Medicago truncatula: one gene and its partners. The protein of the gene in region 2 interacts with the protein of the main gene of each other region in a pairwise test. Links are inferred from orthologs where the notes say so. Each region holds a gene or a part of one and is shown on either strand. Other genes may lie near its edges.

Region 1 (11,119 bases), about 4.5 Mb from region 2:
TTTATTTGTTTGTTCAGTTTATTATTTTTATTTCTTTTAATCTTTATTAAATATAGACCTGCAATCTCTCCACTTTCAGGGAACACTTCGATGTGCAACACGTTGAAGATGATTTTTATTTCTTCGTCATCATCGTCTACCATGTGTTTTATTTGGTCAATTACAAGTTATATCTTTTTTATTGTTTTAATATGGTACTAGCCTATCAAAAAACAAGAGCAATATCTACTCATTAACAAAGAGTCAATCAAACACAAACCACAAGCTTACACAGTGAAATAAGTCAATTCTTACAACTTAAAATCCAAAAAAACTCTTAATCAACAAGTTCTAATAGTTTACAAAGTGAAAATCATCAATTATAATGTCTTAAATTAGATTAAGAAGAAGAAGAAGAAGAAGAAGAAGTCTAAAGAAGAGGAAAGAGGCACGTTGAGGAGAAGAGAGTGAGAGTCGCGAGAGAAGAGAGTGAGCATCGCGAGAGAAGAGAGTGAAAGGCGTGTGATATGAAATGAGAGAGAATTTTACAAATTTTATAACTTAGGTGTTATTTTAAACTCTTCAAATTTTGCAAGAGAGATTCTTATCTAAATCTGTTGAATTTTAAAAATGACTTAAATATTTTTCCAAACAATGGAATATGGGCCAAGTCAATTTAAATACTCCAAAAAATTACATTCCCTCATTAAAATTCTCTATCCAAGTGTGTTTGGGTGAGGTAATTGGGAAAATTTAAAGAATTTAAAATTCTAGGCAATTTAAATGATTTAATTAAATTCCTTTTATTTCTCAATATTTTTGTTTGGGTGGAGTAATAAAAATTTCAATGTCATCATTTTTGAGAAACTTTTATAAATTTTAAATTTTTTTTGGCCAAATTTAAAAATTGAAATTAGGGGTCAATTTTTAAATTTCAAAAATTTTGAGGTGACAATTTATAATTTTTGAAAAATTTGAAGGGTCAATTTATAATTTTTTGAAAATTTATTGGGGTCAAATTGAAAATTTTGATAAAATGAGGACCAAAATGCAAATTTTGAAAGATTATAACAATGATGAATTTTGAAATTCTTACCTTTTAGGTGTCATTTGAAATTCTCTAAATTGAACTTGAACAAAATACTTCATAAATTCTCATCATTTTGAAAATTCTTCAAATTATTATCCAAACAATGGAATTCACCTCAAAGTATTTGAATTCCCTCATAACATTACATTTTGAACATTCTCCCATCCAACATTCAATTTGGAAATATTGATTTTCGATTAAGGGATCAAAGTGACAATTTTCTACTTTCACTTTAATCTCTCTAACATCTCATGTATGCCACCTCTTCAGTTAACATAAGATTTTAACGGTAGGAAGTAATGTGATAACGAAACTGCACATTCAGAGTTCAGACACTACTTTATATTTAATCGTAAGTCAAAAATCTATGTGACATTGAAGTTCGAGATCAAAATAACCATTTACTAAATAAACAATTATGAGAACCGAGAAAAATACTACTCCTTCCGTCCCAAATTATAAGCAAAAAAAAAAATCACACTTATTAAGAAAACTAAAACATACTCCATCCGTCCCATAATATAAGCAAAAAAAAAAACTCATTTTCTTTGTCTCAAAATATAAGCAAAAAAGACAAACTTTTATCCTATTTAATATTTTTTTTAAAAAAAATATTTTTTCCAAGAAAAACTTTTGTTTATTTTCATAAAATTAAATGCAAATTACATTCAATTTTCTCTCTCTCTCTCTCTCTCTCTCTTTCATTTTTCCATAACCAATAACTAATGAAAATTGTTTTTACATCTTCCTATAAAACTTTTTTTCAAAGAAAACACAAAAAACTATACTCCAAATTCTTATGTTTTAGTTTTCTTAATAAGTGTGATTTTTTTTCTTCTTATAATTTGGGACGGAGGGAGTAAGAATTTGAAGTATAATTTTTTGTGTTTTCGTTGAAAAAAGTTTCATAGGAAGATGTAAAAACAATTTTCATTGGCTGTTGGTTGTGGGAAAAATGAAAGAGAGAAAAAATTGAATGTAATTTGCATTTAATTTTATGAGAATAAACAAAAGTTTTTCTTGAAAAAGAGATTTTTTTTAAAAACAAGATTAATTAGGATAAAAGTTTATCTTTTTTGCTTATATTTTGGGACAAAGAAAATGAGTTTTTTTTTGGCTTATACTACATCTGTCTCTAATTATATGAGCCTTTTGCAAAAATTACGGAGTTTAGGAAACTTGGTTGTAGTATTAAATTTATATATAATTACTATTCACCAGATATACTGCATGTAATCTGAGAAAATCTTTTATTTTTGCTGGTGGCATTACAGATTCGAGAATTAATTATATTGTCAACTTGCTTGGTTTTTCTGTAGGTTCACTCCCTTTTACTTATCTTGGGGCTCCCATCTTTAAGGGTAAATCTAAATGCATACACTTCCAACCTATAGCCGACAAGGTGAAGGCCAAACTTGCAAAATGGAAAGCTTCACTACTCTCTATTGTCGGAAGAATTCAACTTGTAAAATCGGTGGTCCAAGGAATGCTTGTTCATACAATGTCTATTTATTCCTGGCCAATTAAAATTCTTAGAGATATGGAGAAAAAAACTTCATATGGAGTGGTGATATCACAAAGAGGAAAATGGTAACGGTAGCTTGGAAGAAAATATGCACAGACTTTGAAGAGGGTGGACTAGGGCTCAAATCTCTCATATGTTTGAATGAAGCTACTAACCTGAAAATGTGTTGGAACTTACTCCAGTCAGATGAGCAATGGGCAATCATAATTAGAAACAGAGTTTTAAGAGACCATAAATGCATTAATCATCACATCTTCTCATCTATATGGAGTGGAGTTAAAGGTGAATTTCAAGTTATCATGAACAACAGCTCTTGGATAGTTGGTAATGGGAAACAAATAAATTTTTGGTCAGACTCTTGGTCTGGACAGGTTCTTCCTCAAACTTACAACGTGCATTATCATATGCTTCAGCTGTTACCTAAGAAGTTGGAGAACTATATCAACAATCACAATTGGAACATTTCAGAAGAATTGAATCAAAACTTCCCTAATCTGAGATCGTTGGTCTCTCGGATTACCCTTCCTTCTAGTGATCAGAGAGACACGCTAGTTTGGAATCATTCCTCTAAAGGTGACCTAACTCAGAAAGATGCATATGCTTTTAAAAAACATCACTTTCTCAAGATTAAGTGGGCAAAACTCATTTGGTCAAAGGATATCTCCCCTTCCAAATCTCTGCTTGTTTGGTGAATGATGCTAGATAAATTACCTACTGATGAAGTCTTAGCCTCCCGAGGATGTCATCTTCCTTCAGTGTGCTCTTTATGCTTGGCTCAAGAAGAATCCAATTTTCATATATTTTTTCAATGTTAGTATGCAGTTAATATTTGGAGGTGGTTTGCTACTTGTTTAAACTGTCCTCTTTAGTTTCAATCTAAAGAAGAAATGTGGTCCACCATTAAGAAATGTCCTCTTCCTGCATGTATGATTTTACTATCATAAAAAAATTCAACATCACTTTGCATCCTCCTAGGGCCCCTCTAAACTGGATAAAGTGCAATTCTGATGGGTCCTCAACCTCTCTCTCCTCCGGCTGTGGTGGTATCTTTAGAAACCATAATTCAGATTTTCTTCTTTGTTTTGCTGAGAATACTGGTCAAGAAGATGCTTATTATGCTGAATTATCAGGTGCTTTGAGAGTGATTGAATTAGCAAAACAATTTAATTGGTTCAATCTTTGGCTAGAACTTGATTCAATCTTTGGCAAAACAAAGCCATAGTTCCTTGGAGGTTAAGGAATAGATGAGATAACTGCTTGAACATTGTGAGCAACATGAACTTCATTGAATCACATATTTTTAGGGAGGGTAACCAATGTGCTGATCACTTGGCAAACATGGGTTTAACTTGTAATGTTCCTTACATATGGATGCAGCTCCCTAGCAGCATTAGCGCTTTTGTATCTCAAAACAAGTTAGGGATGCCTAACTTTAGGTTTGTTACTCATTAAGGAGGGTTTGGGTTGGCCCCCCACCCTTTCTTTGTATTTTTCTCTTCCTCTTATATCTATATTTTCGGTAGTCTAGTGTTTTGCTAGCTACTTTTTTGGAAGAAAAAAAAAGTATACAATTACTATTGTTTTTACAATTTTATCTTTAAGAGAGAGATAATTTATGTTTTCAACATAATATTTATTTTTGATTGAAAAAAAGATGCAAAATAAATAAGGATATGTTGATAAAGAAATAATTAATGGACTTAAAAATATCAAAAAGGTCTTATAAAAAGGGACAATTTTTTTTTTCTGGTGAGGCCTACGTTACCCTCTCATGATATCAACCAATCAAAATATAATATACATAGGTAACATTAAATGTCCAATAAATGAATAGATTTTTTCTAAAAATAAAAGAGTTAATCTTATTATTATTATTTTTTTTTTAAGAAGAGTTAACCTTAATCATAAGGTAACTTTTAATACTTTTAATTTTTATTTTGAAACATCAAATGATTTTTTTTTTTATATTAAGGTGTTCAATCTTAATTAATTTACACCACAAGACTTATAACAAATAAAATTTTACATCAAATTTCTTTCATCTGGATGTACTTAAATTCATCACTTACATTCATAAAATTTCTTCTATTCCAGAACCCCGAACGTGAGAACAAAAACATTTCATTCATTCAAATTTATTCTTCCTTATTGATCAATTCTTGTTTCTTTTTCATTCTTCTTCCCATTTTGATTGTTCAATTTTGTCGTTCCAATCTGCCGCAGTTTTCAATTATAGTGAGAATTGTCGTTGTTTCTAGAACTGCGTCGGGTATCGTAACTTATTTTTTTCATTTAAGCAACCAACCTAATAAAATCTGCTAACACGCATAGACCTGCCTCACTATCAGCCAAAGCCTTTAAGTCCAAACAAAAGAACAAAAGCCTCATCACATAACAATTTCAGCAGCAACCAAAAAAATGCTAGCAGACTTCCACAAAATCAAAGCGGCAACACCTGCAAGCAGCCCTTAAAGTACAACACATGACTTACTCAATTATTATAATTAACTACCTCACAACCAAGAAATATCAAATCAAAAAGAAAAATCAAGTCACCATACCTGACGTGGTACTGGAAATAACGACAATTCTCACGATATTTGGAATCAAACGAACGACGACGATTCTCACGACAATTAAAAAATGCGGCAGTTGGAAACGAAAAAATTGAACAATCAAAATGGGAAGAATAAATTTTATGAATATAACTGATAAATTTAAGGACATCCAGATGAAAGAAATTTGATGTGAAATTTTAATTGTTCTAAGTCAGTCCTGTAGTGTAAGTTAATTAAGATTGAACACCTAAATATAATTAAGGCAAGATTACATTATGAGTCCTTTATCTTATTTATTTGTTACACTTTGGTCCTTTATCTTTATTTTTTTCCGTTTAGGTCATTTATCTCTCTTAGAAGCACATATATATCTTTTTTCTCTTTTTTTTATTAAAAATGAAAAAAAATGCAGAAATATGATGAAGATGTTCATCATCTTCATCTTCTTCCTTTGAATCTTCATCATCTTCTTTAAATAAAAAAAATTCTACTAAAATATATCTCCAAATATCGTGAATTAATGTTATATTCACCTCAAATCTTCTTTTAAACACAAAAATCAAAACCTTAATTTCACAAATGTTGCAAGGCGGATGGTGGAGGCTTAGTCACTGGCGGAAGGGTTAGGCTTTACGAAAGTTAAGATTGTTCTGGAAACAACAAAATTGATGTGCAAAATTGCTCTCAATTTTGGGGTTATTTTTATGCCGGATTTGAATATTGATTTAGAAAATAATAATAATAATAATAATAATAATAATAATAATAATAATAATAATAATAATATACGGTGTGACAATCTTTTTTTTTTTTTTCTTCCAATGAAACTAAATCTCTTTCTCTAAAGGGTTTTGATTTTTGTGTTTAAAAGAAGATTTGAGGTGAATATAACATTAATTCATGATATTGTCAGAAATATTTGTGTAGAATTTTTTTTGATTCAATGAAGATGATGAAGATTCAAAGGAATAAGATGAAGATGATAGACATCTTCATCATATTTCTGAATTTTTTTCATTTTTAATAAAAATATATTTTAAAAAATAAAATTATGAATTTTAAAAAAAGAATGAGAAAAATGATGTATATGTGCTTTTATAAGAGATAAAAGATCTAAACGGAAAAAAATAAAGATAAAGGACCAAAGTGTTACAAATAAATAAGATAAAAGATCTCTAATGTAATCATGTCTATGATTAAATAAAAATTAAAAGTTACCTAATGATTATAATTGATTTTTTTTTAGAAAAAATTGACTCATTTATGACATTTAATTTTATCAATGTATATTACCTTTTGATTGGTTGATATGATGAGAGGGTAAGTACTTCCTAAACAATAATCTAAGAATTTTTTTTTTTTCTTTTAAAATAGGTCTTATAAACGAAAATAAAAACGATTTTGATTTTTATTTAGAAACCAAATACTATACGGTACACGTAAGCTTCCTCGGTGTTTGTATGTAGATATGTTTGTCTGGTCACTCCTGCAACAAAGTCTTGAAACGTAAATAACCTTTGTCAGAAAAATCTCTGACATCTCTTTACTGCCTTTCCTTCACCTTCACATCTTCTCTCTCTCTATCTCTACTAATTCACTTCTGAACCTTTTCATTTCAATCCTAACTCCTTTTTCTACATAGTTCATTTTACTTTTCATTCAAAAGTGATCATCATCATCAGTATCAAAAAGAAAAAGCTCATGCATATGTTGACAATGGAAGCTAAACCTCTTCAACTTGTTCCCTCTTCACACAACAGCACAACTGGTTTCATTCCACTCTCTTCTCTTTTTCTCTCATCACATGTTTTTCTTTCAACTTTTGTTTTTGTTTTGCTTAAATTTTGTGTCTTTTTATATAGGTGGTGGACCCCAGATGAAGATTGAGAATGGTGAAGTTGATGAAGAGAAAAGGGTTGTTGTTGGAGTGAAGGAAGATATAGAAAACAAGCCTTTGATCACAGAAGCTCAAAGGCGTGAACTTGATCATCAAGTTTTTATTTTTAATCATTTTGCTTATAATCTTCCTCTTCCTTATTACCTTTTGCAATTTCCAAGTAATATGTCAGGTTTGTTGAAATTTCTTATCATACCCTTTTCAATTTTATAGAGAATAGTTAATGCATGTTCACCTTTTTTGTTTTGTTTTGTTGAGAAAGAGTATATTTTGGGATTGAGTTGATTAAGTTGTAACTTGTGAGAGTTGTGATTAACAAAAAAGGTCTTGCAAACGAGTGTGTCCGAGACATTTTTTAAGCATTTCAAATTAAACAATTACTTAAAAATGTTACTCCCTCTGTCCCTCAATAAATGACCTAGTTGACTCTGACACACGTACCAATGCATATGTTTTATCTTTGATATCTTCAATTCTCTACTAAAAAAAATTATAAAAATTTAATATTTTAAAAATATTCATCGAGACGAATCCAACAACATCTTACATGATATTATTTATCTTTGTGAATTAGTAGAAAAATATGGTCAAAATATGTCAAGTCAATAATGTATATTATCAACTAGGTCATCTATTAAAGGACGGAGGGAGTAAATATTTTGATTTGTAATGCATTGAATACACACATTTTTATAGATACTTACCACTTATGGCAACATTTCCCTCAATAAAAGGACTCCTTTTTAAGTGTCGTTTATTTTGTTCAAAAATTTGGTTCTTTTATAATTGTCGTTTTCAAATTTCAAAGTAGCATTAAATATTATTTAATCAAAATATGGTTCATTATAGAACATTATGACGTAATTTGATCTTGTAACCGATCCCAGTCCCACTTAGCGGTGTAAGGCTTAATGGTTGCTGTTGTATCCCTCTTATATATTGTTGAGACGGAGAGAAAAATAAGTGAGTTAGATGACAAATTATTACAGGTAGTGTAGGAAATAGATGAAATTGTTAATGGAAAGCAGCAAAAATTAATAGATTAGTTTGTGTAAACAACCTTATAATGACTGTTAAAAAGGAACAAAATGAGTAGTAGTTCAATTGCCCCTTTGTGTACTTTGACAAATCACTGTTAATTGTGTTTAGTGGATGATTAACGAATTGTGACGTTACATCTGTTAGCCATCCATTGAATGTAATTAACCATGAATTTTGACAAACCACAGTTAATTGTGTTTAGTGGATGCTTAGAGGATTTACTAATGAATTTTAATTTTTTATTGGTCCTGGTCCATCTCAAATATGTTGATGCTGAAAACATCTATTGTTTATTGTTTATGAAAACTGTTTCTCTTTTCCCTTTTTATCGGTTCATTTCTTTCGATTTCAGAGTACAGTCGTCGTGGGTCTGATTATGTGACTATGGTGGATCAAGAACCACATAGGTGTAGAAGAACTGACGGAAAGAAATGGAGGTGCGGCAAGGACACAGTACCTAATCAGAAGTATTGTGAACGTCACATGCACAGAGGTCGAAATCGTTCAAGAAAGCTTGTGGAAACATCTCAACTTAACTCTCCTTTGAAAACAAATCCTAGTGGTGGTGGCAAGTCACATGCAAAACTAGTCCCAAACATTAAATCTTCAGTTTCAAATCCAAACCCTTTGATTATTCATCACAATGGCACATTCTCATACAATCCGAGGACCTTCTGCGTTGTAGATACTTCTTCTGTTTGTGATCGGTCGAGACATGTCATAGATTATGGTGCCACTGCAGTGACAACTTCGGGAAGCACGACATCCGTTTCTTTGGATAACAGAGTTTGTCCTAACGTATGCAAGCAAGATGAGCAGATCAAGAGGTGTATCACCGACAACGTGGGTATTAAAAGTGGTCGGAAAGGAAGCATATCTTGTGAAAGTATTGGCATCTCTACTGGAATAGGCTTTTCCCCAAAGAGTGTTCTTCCAGGTAAAACTTGTTGCAAGTTGTAACAAATTTGGGTGTTTTTATTCATGGGATTAGATGATTGCATAGGCGTGACAAAGTGTGAGTTTGTTTACCTTAGACAAGCCGTTCATAAAAAGGCTAGGGTAGTGGGGAGGCAGAGGCATCTAAGTGGTCGGCCTAGCATTGAGGGTAGATGAGGGTGATGTCATTGTGTGTGTATTTGTTTAACTTTGACTTCTCATCTCCAATGACAAATTACTAGTATCAATAATGATACATTTGAAAAATTAAAATAATTGCATATAGTAATTTAAAATGAGATTTATATTCAGGGACAAAATTGTTTCCAAAGGAAGCTTATATATAGCGACAGAGGTAGTATTGTTTAGGAATCTCTTATTTGCATGTCAATATTGTATTTTAGGGTCAACTTTTCATGACAAATCTAATATGACCTTTCTTGCTTATTTTCTGCTGTCATTTCAGTTTCTGGTTGCAATGATTCATACCTCAACAACAGAAACAATATATTAGAACCTGAACCCGGTAGATGCCGAAGAACAGATGGTAAGAAGTGGCGATGCAAGAGTGCGGTTCTTCCAGGTCAGAAGTATTGTGCAACACATATGCATAGAGGTGCTAAAAGGCGTTTTACAAACCTCGAATCTCCTCCTCCTGCCACCACTGTTATTCCTAAAACTACTGATATTAGTTCAGCTGTTACCATTGCTCAGTTGCCCGACCCTTCGGCTCCAATCGACATCCAGAAAGCGAATTGTTGGTCTCCGAGCACTAAGCTTTCAATGTCGGTTCAAGAAAGTGCGCCCTTTGTTGATTGTAATGAGAAAAGTGTTAGCAGCGGTGACACGGATGGTACTAGTACCACCATCACTGACACCATGAATGAGTGTAGCTATCTTTCTTTCTAAGTAGTTGTGTTTAATTTGTTGAAACATGTTAGGTCTTCATATATGAATGAACTTCGTTAACCTATCTGCAAACTGAGATCAGTTTTGTGTGCAAAGGTCTAACACATTATCAATATGTGTTGGTGAAGAATATATGAATCAAATTTTCTAAGTTGCATTTTAGGTTTGTTTATGTGAAAACCAACCAATGTGCACAGATTTTGGCCTATCAAAAGAAAAATGAAAAATGAAAAAGAAAAAAAAAATGGAAATGGCTTCGCCCAGGCTCGAACTGGGGACCTTCAGTGTGTTAGACTGACGTGATAACCAACTACACCACGAAACCATTTGTGATATAGTTTATACCATTTTATTATTTTACCACTAATTTAAAATTAAAAGATTAATTCAGGGACGTTATGTATAAATACAGGGTACAATTTTAAATTTGGCTTGTAAACATTTTTTATTTAAAATTTGGCTTGTAAACAAGTCTAACAATCTTTTGTCTCTATATCGTTCCAATTTTATCGGATGTTCTCGAAGGGGCAAAAATTATTTAGACATGCTACTTAAAAGTCACCTTGATCTCTAAATCTAACTGCTAATTTTTGATTTAGACTAACAGGATATATATTGATTTTTAACTCTGAGCCTATATAAGCACCCAAGTTTTTTAAAACTCGTTTTTTTACAAAACTTGAAATTAAACCTTGACGAATGGTCGTGTTTTGATTCCTCGTTCGTTGCTTCATATCATTGTATCTTCACGTCGTTTTGAATGTTTATTTGTTCATTCTCATCATTGTTTTTGTTTGTATCATATTTAACTTGGACGCTTCCTGACTTATAAGAAGGAGCTAAAAATAAATTTTACTAGCTAGCTACTACTAGTTGTTCTTGTCATCTTAGTCGAAATGACATATAAACACCACAAGACACACTCAAATGGCAACACCAGGGTTTAAATCCCTGAATCGGCTTCCCTTGTCGCTAAAATGGCCAAAGTAACCAACAGTGGAGGACCTAGTACTGCTAGTGTTAATCTCTGTAAATTTGAATTTCTGCAATAATATTTCCTAATCTTGGTGAAGCTAGAGTCTTCTTTGCTCAAGTTTGATTATGGTTCTCAAAGATGCAATAGAAAAAATCAATATGGAGTGTTTCTTGTGTTTAAATCAGTTAGCAAAAACCAACAAGGTCAT
Region 2 (10,968 bases):
ATATCATTTTTCGATTTTAATTATTTTATATATATATATATATATATATATATATATATATCTCGAAACGGATAGGACCGGAATGATGTGGCAAAACCCTCCTTCAAGATAGTATATTTAATCCTCAACATTATCAATATTTCAACATTATTTTTAGAATAGAAAAACGTTAATTATCTTCATTCTTTCACCTAAATCCATTATCAATTACATCTTTCACATTATTCATTTTAATTTCATATGCATTATTACCAATACCAACTTAATATCATTATAGTACCTTAGTTTGCAAAGAAGGGATACACTTTATTAAAAGTTTGCAATTTCAATTAAAATGTTAAAATATTGATGATGTGGAGGACCAGGTTGATAAAAATCTTCACTTCAATAATTAAATAGGACATTTAGTCAAAGAAAGATGAGATTGGGGGGAGATATATTTTGAGAAAAACAAAGATATATTCTCTTAAATGAGTTTTTTCTTTTGGGGGGTCCAAATGAAATGGTGAACTACCTTTGTCCAATGCAATATCCCAACAAACAAACTAGTTGTCCAAATGAAAAAACTATTCCCTTAACTAATATTAAATGTCAATTCCTTTCTACCCCAGTTAACTACACTTCATCAAGTAGTGCTAATAATGTATACAATTATGCCTAATTTTTATAGTCTTTTATTCAGTAGTGACAACTTCAATCTAAAGTAAAATCCTCCCTGACCCAGATAAGTATTGCTCAATAAAAACAAACTTTGTGTATATATTAACTTGTAGAAACAAAATCCCTTATCATGTGCTTCTTGCCCCCTTAGTACATATTTTTCTATCTTCTCTAATATATATATATCATATTCACCACAATTCCTTGACCATACACCATAATTCTTCTTCTTCTTCAAGACCCTCTTGCAAGCAAGTTTATTTTGTGTCCTTTTTTTCATGTTTGTATTTTAAATTTTAATATGAGACTTTCTCTTGACATATACCTTTTTTTAAGCAAATGAGAAACATGTTTTGTTTTATTTTCAATTTCAGGGCAACCCTCTTTTCTTTGTTGATCTACAATTAGATGGAACAAACTAAAGAAGTGGAGAATGGAGACTACAATGAAAGCAAGAGGATAATAACAAAGCAATACATGATGATTTTGGTCTTCTCTTTGTTGATAAGCATGCTTGGAGGATCTTTGCTTGGATGGTGGCATCACAAATATCATTCAACAAATAGGCAACTTTGGATGGTACCCTTTGGCCTCATTTTCTTTCTTACTCCACTCATTATTTGGTTCTCCCTTTTCATTTCTCACTTGTTTATTTCCAAGAGTGATGAAGAGTTAGAGGATGCTTCTAATATAAGTCATCTTATTCAAATTCATCCAATGGATGAGTCAATTTGTCATCCAAAGAGATGATCTTTGGCCTAAAAGCTATTTTGTGCATGTTAAGTATTATGGAAATAGTTCAAACTATATAGAACTTGAAAGTAAGGTGTTATATATCATATATGAGTTAAAAATTGTGTTATATATAGATATATATTATCATCCCTGATAATTGCTTCTAGTATTTTTTCTTCTTCTTTAAACAGTTCAAAATACTTCTTAGTAGATGCTGTATATTTGGTAATGTAAGGTTCAAAATAATTGTTGTTCCCTTTGGCATTTCTAGTCTAGGAGTAGTTTCTATGGATTATCCACTTTTTTTTCAAGGATATGTTTATTCACTATTGAATTATTTTGTGGTCAAGTAGTTATTCACTATTTATTTATTTTGTGGTTAAGTAGTTTATTGGTGAATAAGTGGGGAATTAGAGGTTCAAATCCCGGTCTACATATATTGTCATATCACCACCAACTGAGTTATGTTTATGAAGACATATGTTTATGTTTATGTTTATTCACTTTATTCCTTTTCTTTGTTTTTTTTTTCTTAAACTAAAAAATTTATTCACATAATTGCAAGTATTTGTTAGCACAAGATATGCCAAATATTAGCCCAATGATATTTCTTTTCTTTGTCTCTTATTCAAAATATTATATATCTCTTATAACATGACATAAAGAGTCGATATCTAGGGACCTTATTTTCCATTATTAATGTAATATATTACGTAATTGAAAATATCATGGTAGGAAAAATATATAAGATTCTAGGTCATATGTGTGATGTGGAAGCACGAGAAAGAAATAAAGTAAGGTTATGCACTTATGCTAGCCAGAGATGTTGCCTTCCCTAAATCTTATTTGAATATATGACTGGGTATATGTGTTAAGTCTATTTCCAATATAAACCGACAAAATGTAGGGCTTGATTTCAATCTTAGAGGAGACAAAATTATACAAAATGTCTACAATTGATTTAGATAGGTTTAGATTTTTTTGAGTGGAATTATTACTACTATCAATAATGAGTTGGTCTGTGAAACAAATTGAAATTTCTTAAGTAAGTAGTCAGAAGTTTGATATCTGATTTTTGTATAAGGAGAAAATTTAATTGAAGGAGGAAATTAGTCAACATTGAAAGGTTAGATGTTTGATCTCTCACTTTAACTTGAGATCAGATAGACTAGTTGTCCATGCAAGTTTGCAGAACGGGACAATCGATCCAAACATATGCATAGATTTTTGCTTAGTTCAGTTAGTCAACATGTGGTCTCATAACCTCTATTATCCATGCTCAAACCTTGGTTGGACTCAACAAAAACTTGATTTTTTTTTTTATATGTCTGGCGCTTTTTTATTTAAAAAACCTCATTATAAAATTTGATTTAGATCATTAAACATGTTGGACCGGCTCTACTCAATTGGTTAATTGAGCTTCGATTAATAACGAATAATTTAGAATAATACAAATTTAAATCTTAACTGGAGCAAGTATTAACCAAACTTTACATATTCTTATCGAACTTCAAATTATAAGAAGACATTCTGCTCAAACAAGAACAGGAAGGTTATGGACAAATAAAACTAATTTATTGGAAAATTTCACTTAATTATATGAATTTCATTCAATATAATGTTTTTTTAATAAGATAAAATAGACCATCAAAATTAACATAAGAAATAATCTTGACAAAGGCATATTTCAAAGTCTCAAATCAACATCATCAGATCAACTCAAGTGGGTTGATGATATTTCTCTTTTTTACTGAATTAGTGACGCTATTGCTTTATAAAGTAAGTCATGATTGGCATCAACATGTTTCAAAGCCATTCTCATCAACATGTTTCATCCAAATTCAATAGGTAGTGGTCAATGGCATAACTACTTGGCTGTAGTTTAAGTAGGCGCCGCCATCAAGAAATTGGAAAGTAGCAGATCACTGCATCAACCTATGCAGAATTTGCACTCACTACTCACATAACCTAAAGTTGTTTTCAAGCAGACAATGTGGACATTTACAAGCTTGCATAAAATCCTTAAAACTCTTATAATATACCAACATCACAATATTGGTCTTAGTGAAATTAATAATTATAGTGGTGAGAATTTATTGATGTATTGGAGAAGATTTGAAGTTAGAAAAAAAACTTTTGAAGGTGATACAAGTGAAGTGGATGAAATAAAGTTGAAAACGTATCAAAGGAAAACCAATGATCATAAAACTTATATTTAAAATACTTTTTTTAGATACGATGATGTTTTTAAAATACGGTAATTGTACTTTTTTTTTTGTTGAAGGAAACGGTAATTGTACTTTTGGCATCACAGTTTTTAGAAACCGACGATTTTTCTCCAAATTTTCGAATTAACACTTTTGGTTACAAAAATTAAATCCATTTTAAAAAAGTGACTAGGTCAACACATATATGAATATTAAATTTAATGATTTACACATGCGGAGTTTGTTTTTTATTCTAGGAGACGCGAATGTAATATTCTCTAATATATTTTGTATAAGAGAATAAGATCGTATATTTCAACTTATGAATAGAGGATGGTCTAATTTAGGTAGTGTAATTTACTTTAAATAAAATGTTAAAATATGTTTTCTGGAAGAAAAAAAGTCTTTGAGGAATAAGTGAAGAGTTTTAGTTTATATATACAAGCAAAGTAGACACTTCACGCTAAATGTAGAGGTCGGAGTATAATTATTGAAGTATATGATAAAATTTTAAAAAAGAAAAGGAGCAATGGCCCAACACTTTTTATTTTGTTAGGCGTGTTATTGTGGTTGTTGTTCTGACATTGAATGTTTTCCAGAAACACATGAAAAAGATTAAAAAATTCAGCGGTAGTCAACTGATGTCGGGTTTCTAGTTATAAAGTCAGCGGTAGTTAACTACCGCTGAGGGTATTTTAGTATTTAACATGTCGGGTTTCTAAGAAGATTTTGATGTTAGAACAACAATTGTTGTTATTGTAAGTAGCTCTTGACTCCCTAAACTTTGATCATCACCGTCTCTATAAAAAAAATATCATGTACTAGCGAAAAGATGGGTATTCACGTGCCCGTCTTTCGACTCTTTTTAATGTGCTAAAGTTTAAAAATTATGAACGTTGTTTTTTTATGAAAATTTAATTTTGATTAAAAATAAAAATATAAATATATTTTGCTTTCAAATTATAATAAATCAAACTAATCATGATTATCTATTTCAATGATATCAATAATATAACAAATTTTATTTACTCTATCTTCAGTTTAACTTTTTACCGTTTCATTACTTCACTTATAACCCTTTAGATTCATAAGTTCACCTCCTCATAAATTTATGCTACGCAAAAGTTTTTTTTTGTTTATTTCTTTTTTATAGAAAATCTGATTCAAGGGTACTTATCAAAATCTCAAATTAAATTCTAAAATGATCGAGTTCGCGGTTTTACTGAGCCTCTACTATCCAAATTGTGTGCATAGAATCCATGCTTAGTGTAATAAGCTTGGATGTTTGACCCAAAACTAGCGTAGATAACATTTAACTATTTAAAAAAAAAAAAAAAAAAACTAACCCTTTTTCGACCACACCGCCTTTCTCAAAAATACCCTAATTTTCTAACAACATTCACATTTTCCCTAAAACATACTCATGTTCAAGTATTGCCATGTATATATACAACTATTATTTTATTTTATTTTAGGATCATTTGATTTTGGTTGTAATTTTACATTTTACAGTCTTGTTATCACCTTTTGATCCTACAAATTCACGGTGTAAAATTCTTCCTTTTTTGTTGCAATCTTATATTTTACAATCCTGCTACTCTTTCGATCTTATACTCAGGGCCGGATCTTTGGAGGTGCAAACAGCTCAATGGAGTTGGGCCTCCCCAAGGTATGGGCCTAAAAAAATATATATAGCCCAGTAGTACTACCCCACTAAAACAAATCCTTATGAGAACTCTGATACTACCTGTGTTTCTTTCCTTATTCTCTTTCTCTCTTCTGATTCTCATACGACGTGTTACATCACCACCACTCCTCCATCAGACTTCCCTTTCCTTCTTCCCTGATTCAATTTCCGACCAGGCTACCACAAATTCTCAACACCGATTAAATATATATCACACATTTTCTGGCTCTCTTCAATAGATAACACAGATTTTCAAAGTTTTCACTCCAAAATTCTATTTTTTTTCCTCTCTTCAGGTATAAACCTTCATTCTTTGTTTTAATTTTACACATTCTTGCACTCTTTTTCTTCGGTTTTTTTTATTAATGTTGTTTAGGGTTTTTGTTTTTATGTCAAAAAGTTCAATTTTTTTGGTGATATAACCCTAGGTTTATGAAATTATGATAATCTTGAATATTAGAATTGTTGAATTAGATGTTTATTTTCTTATTCCGTTTGACATATGGTGTGGGAATATATGATGCAAAGTTAATTTTGAAAGATTTTACTGACTATATTTTGTCAAATAGAATCAATGTTTGTAATAACTTATAACAATGTTATTTTGCAGTGATTTGCTATGTCGTTACACTTGTATACTGTTATGAATCTATCATTAAAGTAGTTCGACAATCTATAATTATTACAGGCCGAACCTTGTATTTATCTTTTAAAAAATTTAAATAGAACATTGTTCTTTAAAAAAAATATATTTTTATTATAGACCTCTTTTCACTTACAGAACCAAACCTCTTGATTCATAGGAACGGTTCAATTGTGCTAGATTCCAATTCTAACAAACTTAGATTCAAGCTTTGCGATAGTCAATATTGTACATGAGAAAATATAGAGTAAATTTTTCCAATTTCACTTAAGATTTCCATAAAATTTCATATAACATCTTTAGAAAATCTATCAAAAAACTCACAACCCTAATTCTTTGATTTTTCTAGTTTTTTAAACCATCTATTTTAAAAGTCTGATTAGACCGAGTTGCTCCGATATTTAATGAAGTCAAACTTACCTCAATTAAAACCGGTCCTAAAGATCCAACCAACACGAATTCAACAATAGTTTTCCGGTTGAACCGATTCAAAACCAAACTCAACTCTCGGTTGAACTGAGCGATCCGGTCTATAAAAACACTGTAGTACCCCAAACCGAACGAAGCAACAGTCAACAACAACGAAGTACAAGAAGAATACGCACGCGCGGACATATAAATAACCCCTTTGTCGTTTTTGAGGTAAAAGATTGGAACAACCTAAACCGAACCACACTCACACACCAAATCTAGTCTTTAACAAGTTTTGTTCTTTGGTTCGGTAATATTTTATTCTAACTCAACAACATTTGTTAAAGTACCTTAATTTATTCCTTGTTCTCACGTTCTTGTTCTTTGTCTTTGGATTCCAGAAACAACACACATAGCATCCTTAAAGATCAAAACAACAAAGATCTTGTTACAAAAACATCTTCAGTTTCACTTCACAAAGTTTTTTTTTTCAACTGAACCAAAACCCAGGTACTATTTCTCTCTCTTTCTGTTAAAGTTTTTGTCTTTTATACTTTTTTATGTTAATTATGTTATATCCTTGATGAGTTTTTTTTATAGGTTTCTATTTGGGGTTTGGGTTTGTTAACTGTTGATTGCGTTGATTTTGGTTAATTAGGGTTTAGGGTTTTTTATTTTATTTATTTTTTTATTAAATTATTTCAGTGAAAATAAATAACAAGGAGGAGAAGATGCAGCAGACACCTCAAATGATTCCTATGATGCCTTCATTCCCACAACAAACAAACATAACCACTGAGCAGATTCAAAAAGTATGTTTTTTTTTTCACTGTTTCAATCCCTATTTTTCAATTTGATGATAAAAAAATTAAAACTCTATTTTTCAATTGTAAGTTATATAGATTTTTATTTCAAGTTTTTGTTGGATTTTATTGTTCCTCCCTTCATTGGAATGATTTGGATACTGGGAAGTTATGGTTGTTAAACAGAAGATAATGATTTGGATTTTTTATAATATGTATTATTATTTTTTCTGATTTTGTTGTAAGAGTTATATCATGTGTCTCGATTAATTCTTTGCACAACAAAGGAAAGCAAGAAGGAACAAGAAGTGCATCTTTGAGCTGTTTTGAGATAATTATCTAGATGTCTAAGTATGTATTTCCGTGATGGTTTGAATCAAATTAGTTTATATTGAGTCTATACCTCCACTCAGTACAATCATGTGTGCTGATTATTTCTCGGCTTTCTTGATGTCAACTGACGCCTGTTGTTAGTTTGTTATTGTCCAAAAGGCGTACCTGTAATTCTGTATATATCTATATCTACTTGCTGAGAACATCATCTTGTACCTGTCGGGCAGGCTGAGTCTTAGTTTGTTTTTGTGTGATAGATTCTCTATCTTGAGAACCTCTTGTTGATCATAAACATGTGATTTCTGCATTTGACGCGTGAGTCATCATCCTACATAGACACCTTAAACCCTTGGAAATTACCTTACTCTTTAATTCTGCGTTGAGTAAGCATGAAATTTAATTAAAACAGACCTGGAAAATTCTGCCACATATAATTAGGACTAGACTTTTTTTTAGGATAGATAGAAGATAGAAGAATATAGACAGATTATGATTACTTATTTTAATTGAAGAAAATGTACAGCTGAGAGAAGTGACAGCCATCGGTGTCTAGAATCTGAACAGTTTGCCTCAATTGAAATTTTAAGGGCATTAGTATTGCTTCTTTGCACAGTTATTAAAAGAAAGGATAAAGCGGACACAAGCAAGATGATTAATTATAGTTATCCTATAATAAAGGCGCACACACATACATATGGTCTTACTAATCAATCAGAGCCCTTGTTATCAATACTAGACCATCAATCTCAGCATAGGCATAACCATGTGTTTGGGAGAACTTATGAAAGTAACTTAAGTGTGGTCAATTTGGAAAGCTAGAAATCTTGCAACTTTCCTAGGGCAAGGTGGTTCTTCCGGATGTAATTCTAGAACAGTGTAAATTGTTGTCTTGGAAATGGTTACACTCAAGGAAAAAGTTTCAAATATTCAATTTCTCAATGGATGTCTAGCCCTCTTGGTTATGTAGGTGTTGGTGGATTATTTGTTTAAGTTTGCAGTGGACAATTTTTTAGCACAGGTGTTCTATGTGGCTCTATGATAGTTCAACTGAGTGGAGTTTTATGCATCCGGTGGCATGCGAGTTGAGTTGGCAATTGTGCTGCTTTGGTCAACCGGCCTTTGTGAGTCAGGGAGTAGTATTAGTGAGGTCTTATACTTAATTTCTCAAGTGTGAGGGAAGTATACTGAAGGCCCATAGTGCAGTTTGTTTTTTACAGGATGATGGTGAATTTTCCGATGTAAGCTGATTATAAATCCTGAGACGCAATCGTAGTTTGGGAGTGGTTCCTTTCCAAGTGCAAAGTTTGGTTGTATTGAAAACTATTCAATACATGTTGCTCCATTGTTGTATTAGTTTCAAGGAGTTGGGGTAGAGTAATGAGGCTCAATTTCATGCCTTGTTGCAACCTTCCTGCATGAAATCAGATTGTTCTGTTTGTGGCAGTGTTGTCCATGGCGAATGGCGGACCATGGCAGAGAACCAAATACCCGCCATACCAAACAACATGTGGCGCCACCATATCCGAGTATGACGCCGTTGCGCCACCATCCTTCCCAAAATTAGCCATGGTAAACAGCCAAAAACCCACCACCAATATCTGGCGCCATGGCTGATGTTTGACAACACTGGTTTGCGGGTCTGCAAGCTTTGGTGGGAAGTATAATGTCATTTCAAGGGACTGTTTTCATCTGCAACATTTGAAGTTTGGGGGATGTTTGTGCAGTCTGAGTCACAATTTGGCTGGCGTCCGTGCAGTTGTTTTTATGTAGCATTCGTTCTAGTTCTTGCTCATTTTTCTTTTGGCGTGTTGTCCTTCGGAGTCAGTTTGGCTCTGGTGTTTTAAGTCTGATTTTAATTCAGAACTTTGTATTTTTTTTCCTTCCATGCACACTTTGTGCTTGGCTGTGGTTATTGAATGCATTCTCTTTGCTTTTGCAGTAAAAATAGCTTATGAAAACAACTTACAACTTATCTGGACAACTCCTCCTTGATTATCGAAATAACTTGCACATAAGAATTTGAGCAAGCTGTTCACCCAAACATTGATCCATTAATAAATTTATTATCATGAAATTGTCCATTTATTCTTGATGTATTAGGAAATTTCCATGATTTAACCCAAGGTTTTCTCTCTATTTATCTATTTATCACAAGAATTATTACTTCATTATTTAATTTGAAAGCCCTTTCTTGGCATATGATGCAGTATCTTGATGAGAACAAGAAGCTGATCCTGGCAATATTGGACAATCAAAATCTTGGAAAACTTGCAGAATGTGCCCAGTAAGTTATCTCTAAAATCTCGCTGCATTGTTAGTACCAACATTCAGTGTTGTTAAATAGCAGTTTTATAGGTTATTGCATAGTGGAATTTAACCAGATCACTATTGTTCTGCGATATGCTATTTAGTACAGAATATTGTGAAATAGTGGCGCTACAGCAATATTGCATAGTGGAATTTAAACAAACCTTTTTTTTCTGCAATCTGCTATTGATATCACTGCCAACTATTACCTGATTGTATCTTGTTCCTCTCATCCCTTACATTTTAAAATACATTTGATTTGACGTTTCACTGAAGCATATAATATGTAATTTATAATGGTCTTCATTTCTGATGGTCGAATTTACTAATAATATAACTTTTTTAATCTATATGCAAACAATTGTTCTCTTAGATGTTTGTGTCAACATCGGTACATTGCCGAGGTTTTATGTTATGGTTGTGTGATGAATTTGACATCTTAGGTACCAAGCTCAGCTTCAGAAGAATTTGATGTATTTAGCTGCAATTGCTGACGCGCAGCCACAAACACCGGCCTTGCCTCCACAGGTTAAAATAGATCCTAGCTTATGTCTTGGAAGTCGGAAGAATTTTCCATAACACCAATTTAATTGCCTTGTAATGTGTTTTATTTATGCAGATGGCCCCGCACCCTGCGATGCAACAAGGATTCTATATGCAACATCCTCAGGCTGCAGCAATGGCTCAGCAACAAGGAATGTTCCCCCAAAAAATGCCAATGCAGTTCGGTAATCCGCATCAAATGCAGGATCAGCAGCATCAGCAGCAACAACAGCAGCTACATCAGCAAGCTATGCAAGGTCAAATGGGACTTAGACCTGGAGGGATAAATAACGGCATGCATCCAATGCACAACGAGGCTGCTCTCGGAGGTAGCGGCAGTGGTGGTCCAAATGACGGGCGTGGTGGTGGAAGCAAGCAAGATGCTTCGGAAGCTGGGACAGCCGGCGGTGATGGTCAAGGAACCTCTGCCGCAGCTGCGCACAACAGTGGAGATGCTTCAGAAGAGGGAAAGTAATGTGATTTTCGTGTATGTTGTTTAATAAGACAATACCATGTGACTGTTGATAGTAGGATTTTCTTAAAAAAGGTAGCAGGACTAGAATGATCTTGATGCCCTTTGATTGGTCGACCAGAGGAGCTTAGGTAGATGTGATGTTGTGTTGCTAGGGTTTTGGCATG
Region 3 (11,523 bases), about 1.9 Mb from region 2:
ACATGAGTCGCGTCCGACACTGATACTTATAAATTATACTAAATTATATGATTTTCTCATATTATTAAAGGCGTCGGTGTGTCGATATCTGTATCGTTTCCAATATCTATGTACATATCCGTGTTTCATAGAAATTCCCAATTTAGCTTTAATTTGTGTTAAATAACTAAAATATCCATCATTATAAATGCACTAAGAAAGAAGATAAGTTTTAAATATAATTATGAGAATATGATATTTGATAATCTACATTCTGAGCAAGTGACTAATCTCACATGGAATATATAATTATAATATTGGGCGACTGTTATTCTCAGTGTTAGTTAGTAGTAATCTAAAGAAGATAAGTTTTAAAACTTTTGAAAGAGTGTTAGTAACATATTCACGTTACATAATCACGTATGTCCTTTATAACATACATTTATATTCGACTGAAGGCAAAGGCTACGGTAGGCGATCTCTTTAGGTCTCCTACCGTAGGAGACTTGACTTTTTTTATTTTGTTTTTGTAAAATAGATGTTAATCATTGGATATATTTGAAAACTTTTGATGACCATGATATTATTATACTCTCTCAACACTAGATACTTTTTACACTATTCCATCATATATCCTTCTCTAACCCTCTCCATGTCTCTGCTTATTCCCTACTCGCTCACCACCACCCCATCATCCTTCTTTTAACACCGTACACTTCCACTCTTTGGTCAATCCCTCTCATATTTTAATTGCTGTTGTTGTTAAAAACATCAATTATTTTTTATGAACAGGAATACCACAAACATCAATTGAACAAGAAAATCATTAAAATATAATTCAATTAAACAAAACAATATTGAGGCTTTGTTGAGAGAGTTCAGTGGGTAGGTTGTCTTCTTGATTAAGAGAATGATGGGGTTTGGTGTTTGTGTAATGGGTGGAAAGCAACGACATGTCTTAAGGATGTATAAATTTTATTTGTGTAGTGGGTTTGCTTCCTTCATGTTGTTGGTGTCGTGAGCCTTTGTTAATGTTGTGTGGCGCTAGTTCAATTTCATTGATAAAAGTCCAATCCTATCCTGCTGTGCCAGTTTCATCATATTGGTGGGTCTTCTTTCTTATTAATTAAAGTTGCATCGTTAACAGGTTTTAAATTCCTTAAGGAAAGATTGGTTATTGATTTTAGATCTGGATTTTTAAGAACAAATTGGTGAAGATGAAAGAAGATTGGATTTGGGAAGAACACATGAAGATAAATTTGGATAAAAGTAATTAGGAAGAATATGAAGTATATAATTTGACGATGATGGAGAATACGGTGGTGGGGAAGGAGGATGTCGGCGGCGGCGGAAGAGATGAGAGAACGGAAAGAGGAAGAAAATGTTTTTTTCCTATGGTTGTTTTGGCTGAGGTTGAAGAAAGTGGGAAGAAAATTCAATGTTAAGGGAATACAGTAAGTTCAGTGTTCTTCAACCATCTAATGTTTACACATGTTATCTTTATTGTAAAATAAAAAAAAAAAAATAATTAGTTTTTTATAAAGTCATCCACCATAGGAGACTATTTAAATCTCCTATCGAAAACGGCACCCTCGACTGAATTATAACTCAACAATAGAGTGTATTGAAAATGTTACTCTAGCATTAGCATTATTCAACCTCTTACTTGAAAGATTCAAACCATCTTACATCTTACCCGCATGTTATTTATTTTTATTTTTTTTAAGAAATCTTACCCACATGTTATTGGTACGTTTAAATTTAGTTTTTGTATGAGTGTCTTTTTTTTAAAAGAAAGAAGTTTTTTTATGAGTTAAAAGTGCTTATAAAGACAGGTAACATTGATTTCATATATTTGGCCCTAATTTGGAGCTGCATAGACTAGATCCCACCACACATTTACCCATCTTTCTATGGCATTGGCATATTTTTACTATAGCGCATGACGTTTCAATAAATAATTAAAATAAAATAAAAACACACTTTAACTCATGGTGGGAGTGTGGAGATGCGGATAACACTTTGGTGATATTGATCAATCACAATATCATAAGTGTACAAAATGATAAAAAATTATGACTTTCTTCTTACTCACTAACAAGCATTTTTTGTCATTTTGCACACTTGTGACATTGTGGTTGGCCATGACATTGGCACCTCAATATCACCAAAGTGATGTCCGTGGAGATACTAATTTTCGAACACACTCTTTAAAATATTTGAGTATTTTTTTCATAAAATTGTCTCCTTTACAATAATTGGTTTTGCTATAAAAAAAAAAAAGCTTAGTGGTGTATTGCTCGATTGTCTAATATTTATGTGTAACTTGAAGTTAACTTGTAAGTGTGATTTTGAGTTTTGAATTTATCATACAAACTTACTTAATGTTTTTTTTAAAGGAGAAATTCATTGCTTCTTATTATCAATCAAAAAAGAAATACATGACGGTACATTATCATAATCATGGAAGCTAGCATGAGATGGGGCTACCTTAGTTAATGCATGAGTGATCCCATTGGTTTGCCTCCTATTGAACTCGACATAAGAGTTCTGAAAACTAATCTGAAACAATTGTTTACAAGCATGCATAATACATCCAAACTCATTGTCATTCTCTAAAGAAGACCGAAAATGATCAACCACTATGTTAGAATCTAAAGCAAAGTCGACATTATCATAGTGAAGTTCCGCCATCCATTTCAACGCCGTATGAAAGCCTACGGCCTCACCCACAACAACATTACAAAGAGGGGAAAAACAATATGTTTTAGCACTAACAAATTCGCTCCTGTCATCACGAAGACAAATCCTGATACTCACATATTCATGGAAGAAGAAAAGGAGGAATCAATGTTACATTTATACCTACCATAAGCCGGCTTCGACCATTCCACCACCATACTATCGCTAGAATTGCCTTGGTGCGTCAAAGGTACATCTTCTCTTTGCAACCATATTTGTTGGGCTGATCGCCAATCATCCAGGGTATGCTTTGCACGCTCCAATACATGCATGATCGTTTCATTTTGCTGCTGCCACAATTTCAAATTCCTACGCTTCCACATACTCCACATAATCGTCACAAATAACTCTCTTTGGACCAAAGGCAGCTGATCAAGAAGAGTAAAAATAAGTGCATCCATATTATAATTTTTTCGGAGAGTTCTGTCAATTGTGTTCCATAATTGAACCACACGCCAAGCTTGCCTTGCAGTGAACATTCCAACAACACATCAATATTATCCTCATAGTTAACTTACTTTAATGTTAATAACTAGCTAGCATAAATCATTGTATATTCAACTAAATTTTAATCAAAATAATGTGTGTTTGAATTAGTCTTTAATTTAGTATAATTAATCGCAATATGTCACCATGACTTTGATAAAATTTAAATTTTGGATGCTAAAAGAAAAGCATCATAATGAGCAAATGAAAAATGTGCAAGAAATCCAAAACTAGTTTAATATATTAATGTATATGATGCTAAAAATATTATATTATATTATAATTACAAGTGGAGAAGTCCTGTGCATAGTCTCTGATGATTCCAGTCAAAGAAAAAAACAAAAGGCACTCAGGTGATCTTTTTAAGCCTGCAATGTAACAGCACAGAATCAGCCAGCAAATAACAAAAAAAAGAAAGAGAAAAGCTGAAAGGAAAATGTTATTGAGGAAATTTTTGGGTTAATCAATATGAAAGGTTCAGTTAGGTGTGTGAAAAATAAAAATAAAGCATGTGTTTTGGGACAGAGAAACAGTGTCTGTGAATAGTTTTAACCCTCAGAGTGCACTTTCCTGACACCTTCTGTAGAAGAAAAAAAAAAAAAAAAGACAAGTGCTTTCAATTGCAAAACAACAAGAAGCACGAACCAGCTAGATAGTCTTTTACTTCCACTGTACCAACCAGCATCAGTGAACTTCAAAAGTTACATCATCATGATGATGATAAATAATGCTTATAACTCTGAAACACTGTGTGTGTGAGGGAGCAAAAATAAATAAATATAAAGACCTTTCACTTTGCTGCTATATTGATATTTGTTTGACATTCAAATTTGTCATGTATCTTGTATTTTTATATGATATGATTAGTTACCACAAATTAGGAGTTTATGAAGCTTGAACGACTGAATTAAACAGCATGTATTCCTAATAAGAAGATATAATATAGCATGTAAAAAGAGAAGAGGTATTTATATTAGTAGTTTTCAAATCATAATTTTTAAAAGTAATAAAAGTTGTAATCTTCAAGTTGATTGGTTATGAGGAAATTGTTGGTAATATAAGAGATTTGACTTATATACTCAATCTTTAAATTTTGGATAGAGATGTGGTGTTCAGTCTCTTACGGATCCTTGATCATTGACTCGTTGTTTTTCTCAGCTCTCCTCTAGAATCCCCAAAAACTGGTATGGTAGCCTTGATTCAACTTGATGGGGAGAGTGGAGGTGGAATCCTAGTGTTGGATCCTTGTATTGAAAGTCCTCATAGAAAACGTGTTATGTTGGAATTATGTAGTGCAAATATAGAATGTGGGAGACTTGCATTTAAGAGAAGATTGTTGGATTCGAGTGTGAGTGGTTTCCCACATCCAATGTAGTTGAGTTAAATATTAGATATATAATAGGTGTGACTCATATACCAAACGTCTTAAGATTTCTAATAGAGATTAGTTGTTTCTCTACCGTGGTCATGGATCATTGGTTCTATTGCTCTTGACGCTCCATCAAACACCTCAACAAATGGTATTAGAGTCTTAGTTCGACTTAATTGTGGAGTTGGAGTGGATCATGATGTTGGATTCTTGTATTTGAACTCTTTCTCGCATTGTAGTAAGGGCGTGTTCTATTGGTTAATAGATGTGCAAGTATAGGATGTAGAAAACTCACACTTGAGAAGGAGATGGTTGGACTCAAGTGTCTCACATTTATTATATAAATGAGTTACATATTAAATTTATACGAGAGGTAAACCATAATATATACTTTATGCGTTGAGTTTTTAGTAGAGATTTGGTGTCTTGGCATTCCTTGATCATTTGCTCGTTGTTGTTATTGGTGGGGAATGGATCCTCTCCGGTGACTGGAGGGTCCAATGAAATCTTCTCCATTAAAAAATAAATGCATTTGAGAAATTAAATGTTAAAATCAAGAGAGAAAAAATATTTAATGACTTAAATGCATTTGAGAAATTAAATGTTTAATGACTTAAATTAAATGTGAAATTCCTTATTGGAATTATTGTATGTGTTGATATTATAAAATTACAAGTAATTTAGAAAGAAGTTGTATCAAACTTGATATTTCTATTCAATCTGAAATTTAGAAACTACAAAATATAATCCAGACATGTACTTATAACATCTTGTTTAATTCATCTTATACCGTATTAGAAAAGCCTCAAACAATGATTTGGCCAAAGCCTATTTTTGGTAACCAAGCTATAACTTTAATATTTAAAAAAGGAGAAGTGAAACACACACTTACTGTTATTCCTATATGGCCCAAAAAGATGATGTATTCATCTTGTGGTTGAAGAAATCATATTAACAGCCAAACATGTAAAGGATTATCATGACATGACTGTACCCAATGAAACATAAGAGTCCAAAATTGACTGTAACCTAATTTCTATCCTTGAAAGTAAGATGCCTAATGGTGAGAAAATGTAACAAAAGATAACACATCATTCCGTACCTAAAAAAAAAAAAAAAAAGGATTCAGCTTTAGCCAATGACCTCCCATATCTATGAATAAGATCATGCCAGGCATGCTTAAACCAAAAAAGATTATAAATGACACGTACTAGACTTTCTTATATTCAAAAGCTATACCATATCCTAAGATTGTTAAAAGAGATTTATACCACCGACTACAATTGCGATTGGTATGGTTAGACTTTTTGCTCACATTCGTCGTGTGACTCAAGCTTGAGTCTAAACTTCTATAATTTCTTATAGATTAAGGACTTTTTGACCTCTAATAAACACTCCAAAATATCTTACTTTAGGTTTAGATCTTTTGATCGTGCTATATAACCAATTCATAAGTTGATAATAGGATGTCCTTATTGTTTATGCGAGGTTGGAATGTCTCTCAAATATTAAACTTCAGGAATCAAATTTATATTCTTAATCTAAAAATTATAAAGAAAAAAGGAAGAGAAAAAAAAAATTGATGCTATATCATGATATATGATAAAATAGGCAGTATAGGTAGCTAAGCAGCTTACACTTGACATAATCTGATGGCACTGTTTTCAAAGAATGATGTGGAGACAGCAAAACCAAAGGTGCATGGACTAACATGCATTTGCATTTAATTTTTTCTTTGTACATTAGTTTATGAATTTGTGTAAAAGATGTCAGAGACAAGGGCAGCAGCAGCAACAACAAAGGCAGGTGCAGAGAAAAAAACAGAAGCATCACAGGTTCAGTCATTATAAGTTCAGACTCACTATCTCACCCATCCACCACATAGCAAAAATTAGTGAAGAGGTGGCAGAACACAATTTTCATATTCATTAACTATTATCCATCCATGCACAGTACAATAATCTCCAACCCCTCTTAACCCTCTTAAATAAAAGCATCTTCAAGAAAATCCTTATTTTTGTTTCTCAAAAAATGATGAGTGCAAGTTCAAGAAATAGGTCACTTTTCACACCAAATCAATGGCAAGAACTTGAACAACAAGCCCTAGTTTTTAAATACATGGTTACTGGAACACCTATTCCACCAGATCTCATATACTCTATTAAGAGAAGTTTAGACACTTCAATATCTTCAAGAATCTTTCCTCATCCACCAAGTAAGTATTGTTATAACTCTTTTTATTATATTTTATGATAAAAGAAATACTATATACTTTATGTTGTTGTTGTTATTATATATATGTGTATACTTTATATTTGTTTGTTGTCATAACTGTGAATGGTGCAGTTGGGTGGGGATGTTTTGAAATGGGATTTGGCAGAAAAGTAGACCCAGAGCCAGGGAGGTGCAGAAGAACAGATGGCAAGAAATGGAGATGCTCAAAGGAAGCATATCCAGACTCAAAGTACTGTGAAAGACACATGCACAGAGGTAGAAACCGTTCAAGAAAGCCTGTGGAACTAGTAGTTTCTTCTTCAACAACAACACCAACAAATAACACAAACACAGCATCTTCTTACAGCAACAGAAACATCTCCTTGAACAACAACAGCAGCAGCATAAACTCACCTTCTTCTTTCCCTTTCTCTACTTCATCCATGGCTTGTCATGATCAGTCACAATCTTTTTCACAATCCTACCAAAACTCTTCTTTAAACCCTTACTATTACTCTCAATCAATTACCTCTACTAAACCACTTGATCATTCTCATTTTCAAACTCAAGATGCTACTACTCATCACCTCTTTTTGGACTCAACATCTTATTCTCAGGATGACAAGGACTTTAGGTATGTATAAAACCAATAAATTCTAAATTGTTTTTTCAGTTACGCTGCCAACTTTTATATTTATATCTAATGCGGTTGAAATTGCAGTTGTCATACCGTTATAGAGACCTCTAAATATATTTATATTACGATTGCAGACTACAATTTAAAATCATAATAAACATATATATATATATATATATATATATATATATATATATATATATATAAAATTGCTAGGTTTTGATATTTTGTTGTGTATGTGTTATTGTACTTGATTGTTGATAAAGGAGGCAAGTTCAAGGAATAAGAGATGGTACTGTGGATGAGAGAACTTTCTTTCCAGAAGCTACAGGTTCATCTAGGAGCTGTTATCATGATTCATATCAACAACAACTATCAATGAATCCCTTTAAGTCTTACTCAAGCTCACAGTTTCAGAATATCAATGATGATAATTCAAGACAACAACAAGAACAACACTGTTTTGTTTTAGGCACTGACATCAAGTCAACAAGAACAACAAACAAGGACAAAGAAAGTGAGACAACTCAGAAACCACTTCATCATTTCTTTGGTGAGTGGACACCAAAGAACACAGATTCCTGGCTAGATCTTGCTTCTAACTCCAGAATTCCAACAGGTTGATTATCATTTATCATCATTCCTATGTTTTTGTTTTTTTTTTGTTATTATTAATATAAATATTATTATCCATAAAGTTATTTAATATTATCACACTTTACTAGCGTCTAGATAGGCACTTCTGTCTATGTCTGTCCGCTTTTTCTACTACGCTAACAAATTTATATACTTTATTATCCTTGGCAGATGAGTGAAGTTATTATTTGATTAAGAATTGCTGGTGGATACTGCCAAGAGAGAGTTAAAGATCAAAATGTTATGTGTGGCTGGGGTGAATTTTCTTTAGCAAAAGGTGTGATCTTTATTGTGTTATGTAGGGGACCACATTAGGATTTTTTTGTGTGTCTTGATGATATATTTTATTATTATTATAATATGCTTTGTTTCTTCAACATGAAGAAAAGTTAAAAAAAACATGTCTCAGATTTTCACACTTAAGATGTTTGACTGGAAAGCATATTAAGTTGCTTATGCAGTCTACTTTTTTAAATGGGTGGTAGTAGCAATAGCAATCAATCAAGGACAAATTTAAATTAACTTTCTGATGCTTGTGCTTGTATGTTGTGATGTATGGACCCAACAGCCAGAAAACATGTGCAATGAATATTTTGCAATATATTTACTACTGTTTTAAGATTAGGTGGGGAGAGACTGAGAGAGACACTTCCCCCACATCAAAATTCTCTATAACATATATCCAATTGATTGTAACTAGAGTGGTTGTAAGGTTTCAAACTTTGCATCAACACCTTATATTGTTTCATTCATTCACCACCCTTAGGATATAGAAATCAATGTGGTGTAACTAGGTACATGTTTAGCTTTATAATTTGCATCCTTCACTTTGGTTCCACTTCTAGAGGAACTAGAATTGATTCTGAATTGTTTAGTTATTGTCGACTAGAATTGATTCTACTTGAAACTAAGATATGTAGTTTTTGATTCTAGAATTGATTTTCACGCACAATTTTATAATTTGATTCATTTTTACATAAATTTGACTCATTTTTACATGAATGTATTCAAACACAAATCACTTTTGGTCAAGTTATTTTTAACCAAAATCAATTCTTTCCACACACAACCAAACTTCTATAACATCTTACTTTATAAACTTTATTAATTATTTGGTTACTAGCATATCCTTAATTAGTGGTAACAATAATCAATTCTAAGATAAATTTGTAACAATATCAATGGTTAACTAATTTAATGCTACGTACTACTAGTTTTCTTATGTCTTGTGATTTAGTCGACAAAGTTCTATACTTAGGGACAAGGGAGAACACATTATTAATGTGTTTTTTCAAAGTTCTTCTAACAGAAAAATGGCATAGCATAAGGGTATCATGTGCCAATTGTACTATATAGTACTATTCTACAAAATTACTTCATACCCTCTTGGACATATTTATTTTGTAAATTACAATTTTCTCCTACCCCACGTTTTATATCTGAATTCTGAAGTAAATCTATCATTTGGTGGTTGGGAGTTTCGGATACATATCAATAATTAATTGCTTTGTTTTTTTGGTTGGACAATAGTTCATTTTGTTTTAAATGAAAGAAAACATTATTCAAATTATTGCATGCTAAGAGAGTAGGAGGGACAAAAACATCCGGATTAGGATTCTCTCTATTGAAAATTTTCTTAAATTTTCTCATGTGAAATCTCAACCATCAATCATGAGAAAGAAAGTGAAAATTAAATTATAACGAATAGTAGTTGTTGTATTTTAATAGTGAAGATTGAAAATGGAGAAAATTGAAGAAAATTTTCAACGGAGAGGATCCAAATCCAAAACATCAATAGTTTCCTCACTCACAGTTAATATAGCAATAAATGAAGGATATTAGCTGAGATTGTTAAACTCAAAGACCATAATGCCCCACGTTAGCATTAGCATTTCCTTCTAAACAAGGTTTTTCTTTGATGAACGTGTGAAAACTACCAAATAAAATGCATCCCAAGCCGAAATATCACAAGTACCACCTTGTCTCGGACCATCGCAAGAAAAATTATAATCATAAATCTTTTTATCCGGCATTAACTTGGAACTGTGTGCATCCAAAGCACCGTTTACTAATATCAATGTAGTTGTATGTAAAGTTTTGATAAATTCCCACCAATACCCGCGCCATGAGATTAAGAACATAAATTCAGAAGCCCTGGAAGAATCGAACTTGAGACTTAAAGGAGGAGCACGCTTTCAAATCCCAAGCCAGTATCACAAGGCCAACCCAATACCTCATTGTTCAGCAAGTATAGAATTTTTCACTCCTAATTTGCAATTATATTCTTTCTAAGTTACTCCAATAGAGGGTGTCCTTCTAGAGAATAAAATACATATCTTAAGAAAAAAGTTTCTATCTCCAAAATGATACTCTCTGCTTTGGCACCAGAGAGGATTCCAATTGACATAAGATGCCTGTGCATGCTGACACACACTAATCACTTTCATGCGAACTATCTATATGTAACTTTTTCCTTTTTCCAAGTAACAAAGAAGAGAGAGTAGGAAGAAGATGATGGTTCATCTTAAAGACTTGCTCCATTGTAGAAAGAGCACAAAAAAATTCAATATGATGAGGACTCCAAGTTCATACTATATAAGTTAGAAACATAGAGTTGTCTAGAATATTAATTTTTCTCGTTAAAACTCATTGATTCAAATCATTTCCTAGCAACCAGCGTTCCAAATAATAATTGAATCTAGAGATTGCTACCTGATTCCACATCCAATGATTCCAAGCTAAAAAATTTGGTCAGTTGTATTTTTCACCACATTGGTTCAGAGTTGAGAAACCACATCATCACTGGCGGAGCCCTTCATGGCTCACCCAGAAAAATTAAAAAATCAACGATTATAGGTTTATTTTGCGAGATTTTATGCAATTTTGTGTTGGTTTTATGTTTTGGTTGATCCAAATTCCTGCAAAATGGTATAGTGGCCCACCCGAAATTTAAATAATTCAATTATATGTCTATTTTGCGAGATTTTATACAATTTTATGTCGGTTTTAGGTTTTGGTTGATCCAAATTCCCGCAAATTGGTGTAGTGGCCCACCCGAAAAATTTAAATAATTCAATTATAGGTCTAATTTGCGAGACTTTAAACAATTTTTCAATAGTTAATTTTAGTGGCCCACCCTGACATTTTTTTTGAGCCACTGCACATCATAGTCACATATTGCATGCATGAGAGTTTCTGGCTAATCATTACTTATAGGGCACAAATTAGAGGTTATTCTCCTGCTATATTGTTCTGTACCTGGCCATAGGCAAGGATTTTAAGAAGTGAAGATTTTTCTAGTTTCAAGTCAAACATGATATGCAATAATGCAGTATAAAAATTGATAGGAGTATATCCATAACAAAAATATTTTTGGAAAAGAAAATCCTTTTTAACATAAATTATAACTGCGTAAAGTATTATAAAATCAATTGACAAAAGAGAATACAGCATGATTACC

Evidence for each region.
Region 1: the proteins of GRF1-interacting factor 3 (region 2) and growth-regulating factor 9 interact in binary tests that used the Arabidopsis thaliana proteins (3 or more experiments, as listed by UniProt). The link is inferred for Medicago truncatula from reciprocal best matches to the Arabidopsis thaliana genes GIF3 and GRF9.
Region 3: the proteins of GRF1-interacting factor 3 (region 2) and growth-regulating factor 5 interact in binary tests that used the Arabidopsis thaliana proteins (3 or more experiments, as listed by UniProt). The link is inferred for Medicago truncatula from reciprocal best matches to the Arabidopsis thaliana genes GIF3 and GRF5.

The regions. Positions count from the first base shown.
Region 1 is NC_053049.1:13,574,412-13,585,530, reverse strand, and holds growth-regulating factor 9, read left to right. Parts: upstream 1-6,636; 5' UTR 6,637-6,853; coding exon 6,854-6,920; intron 6,921-7,014; coding exon 7,015-7,221; intron 7,222-8,442; coding exon 8,443-9,027; intron 9,028-9,492; coding exon 9,493-9,935; 3' UTR 9,936-10,097; downstream 10,098-11,119. UniProt on the Arabidopsis thaliana protein: Transcription activator that plays a role in the regulation of cell expansion in leaf and cotyledons tissues.
Region 2 is NC_053049.1:9,084,285-9,095,252, forward strand, and holds the start of GRF1-interacting factor 3, read left to right. Parts: upstream 1-6,591; 5' UTR 6,592-6,653; intron 6,654-6,744; 5' UTR 6,745-6,853; intron 6,854-7,048; 5' UTR 7,049-7,074; coding exon 7,075-7,155; intron 7,156-9,686; coding exon 9,687-9,763; intron 9,764-10,229; coding exon 10,230-10,314; intron 10,315-10,405; coding exon 10,406-10,804; 3' UTR 10,805-10,968. UniProt on the Arabidopsis thaliana protein: Transcription coactivator that plays a role in the regulation of cell expansion in leaf and cotyledons tissues.
Region 3 is NC_053049.1:7,191,387-7,202,909, reverse strand, and holds growth-regulating factor 5, read left to right. Parts: upstream 1-6,255; 5' UTR 6,256-6,607; coding exon 6,608-6,791; intron 6,792-6,922; coding exon 6,923-7,424; intron 7,425-7,693; coding exon 7,694-8,046; intron 8,047-8,234; coding exon 8,235-8,242; 3' UTR 8,243-8,666; downstream 8,667-11,523. UniProt on the Arabidopsis thaliana protein: Transcription activator that plays a role in the regulation of cell expansion in leaf and cotyledons tissues.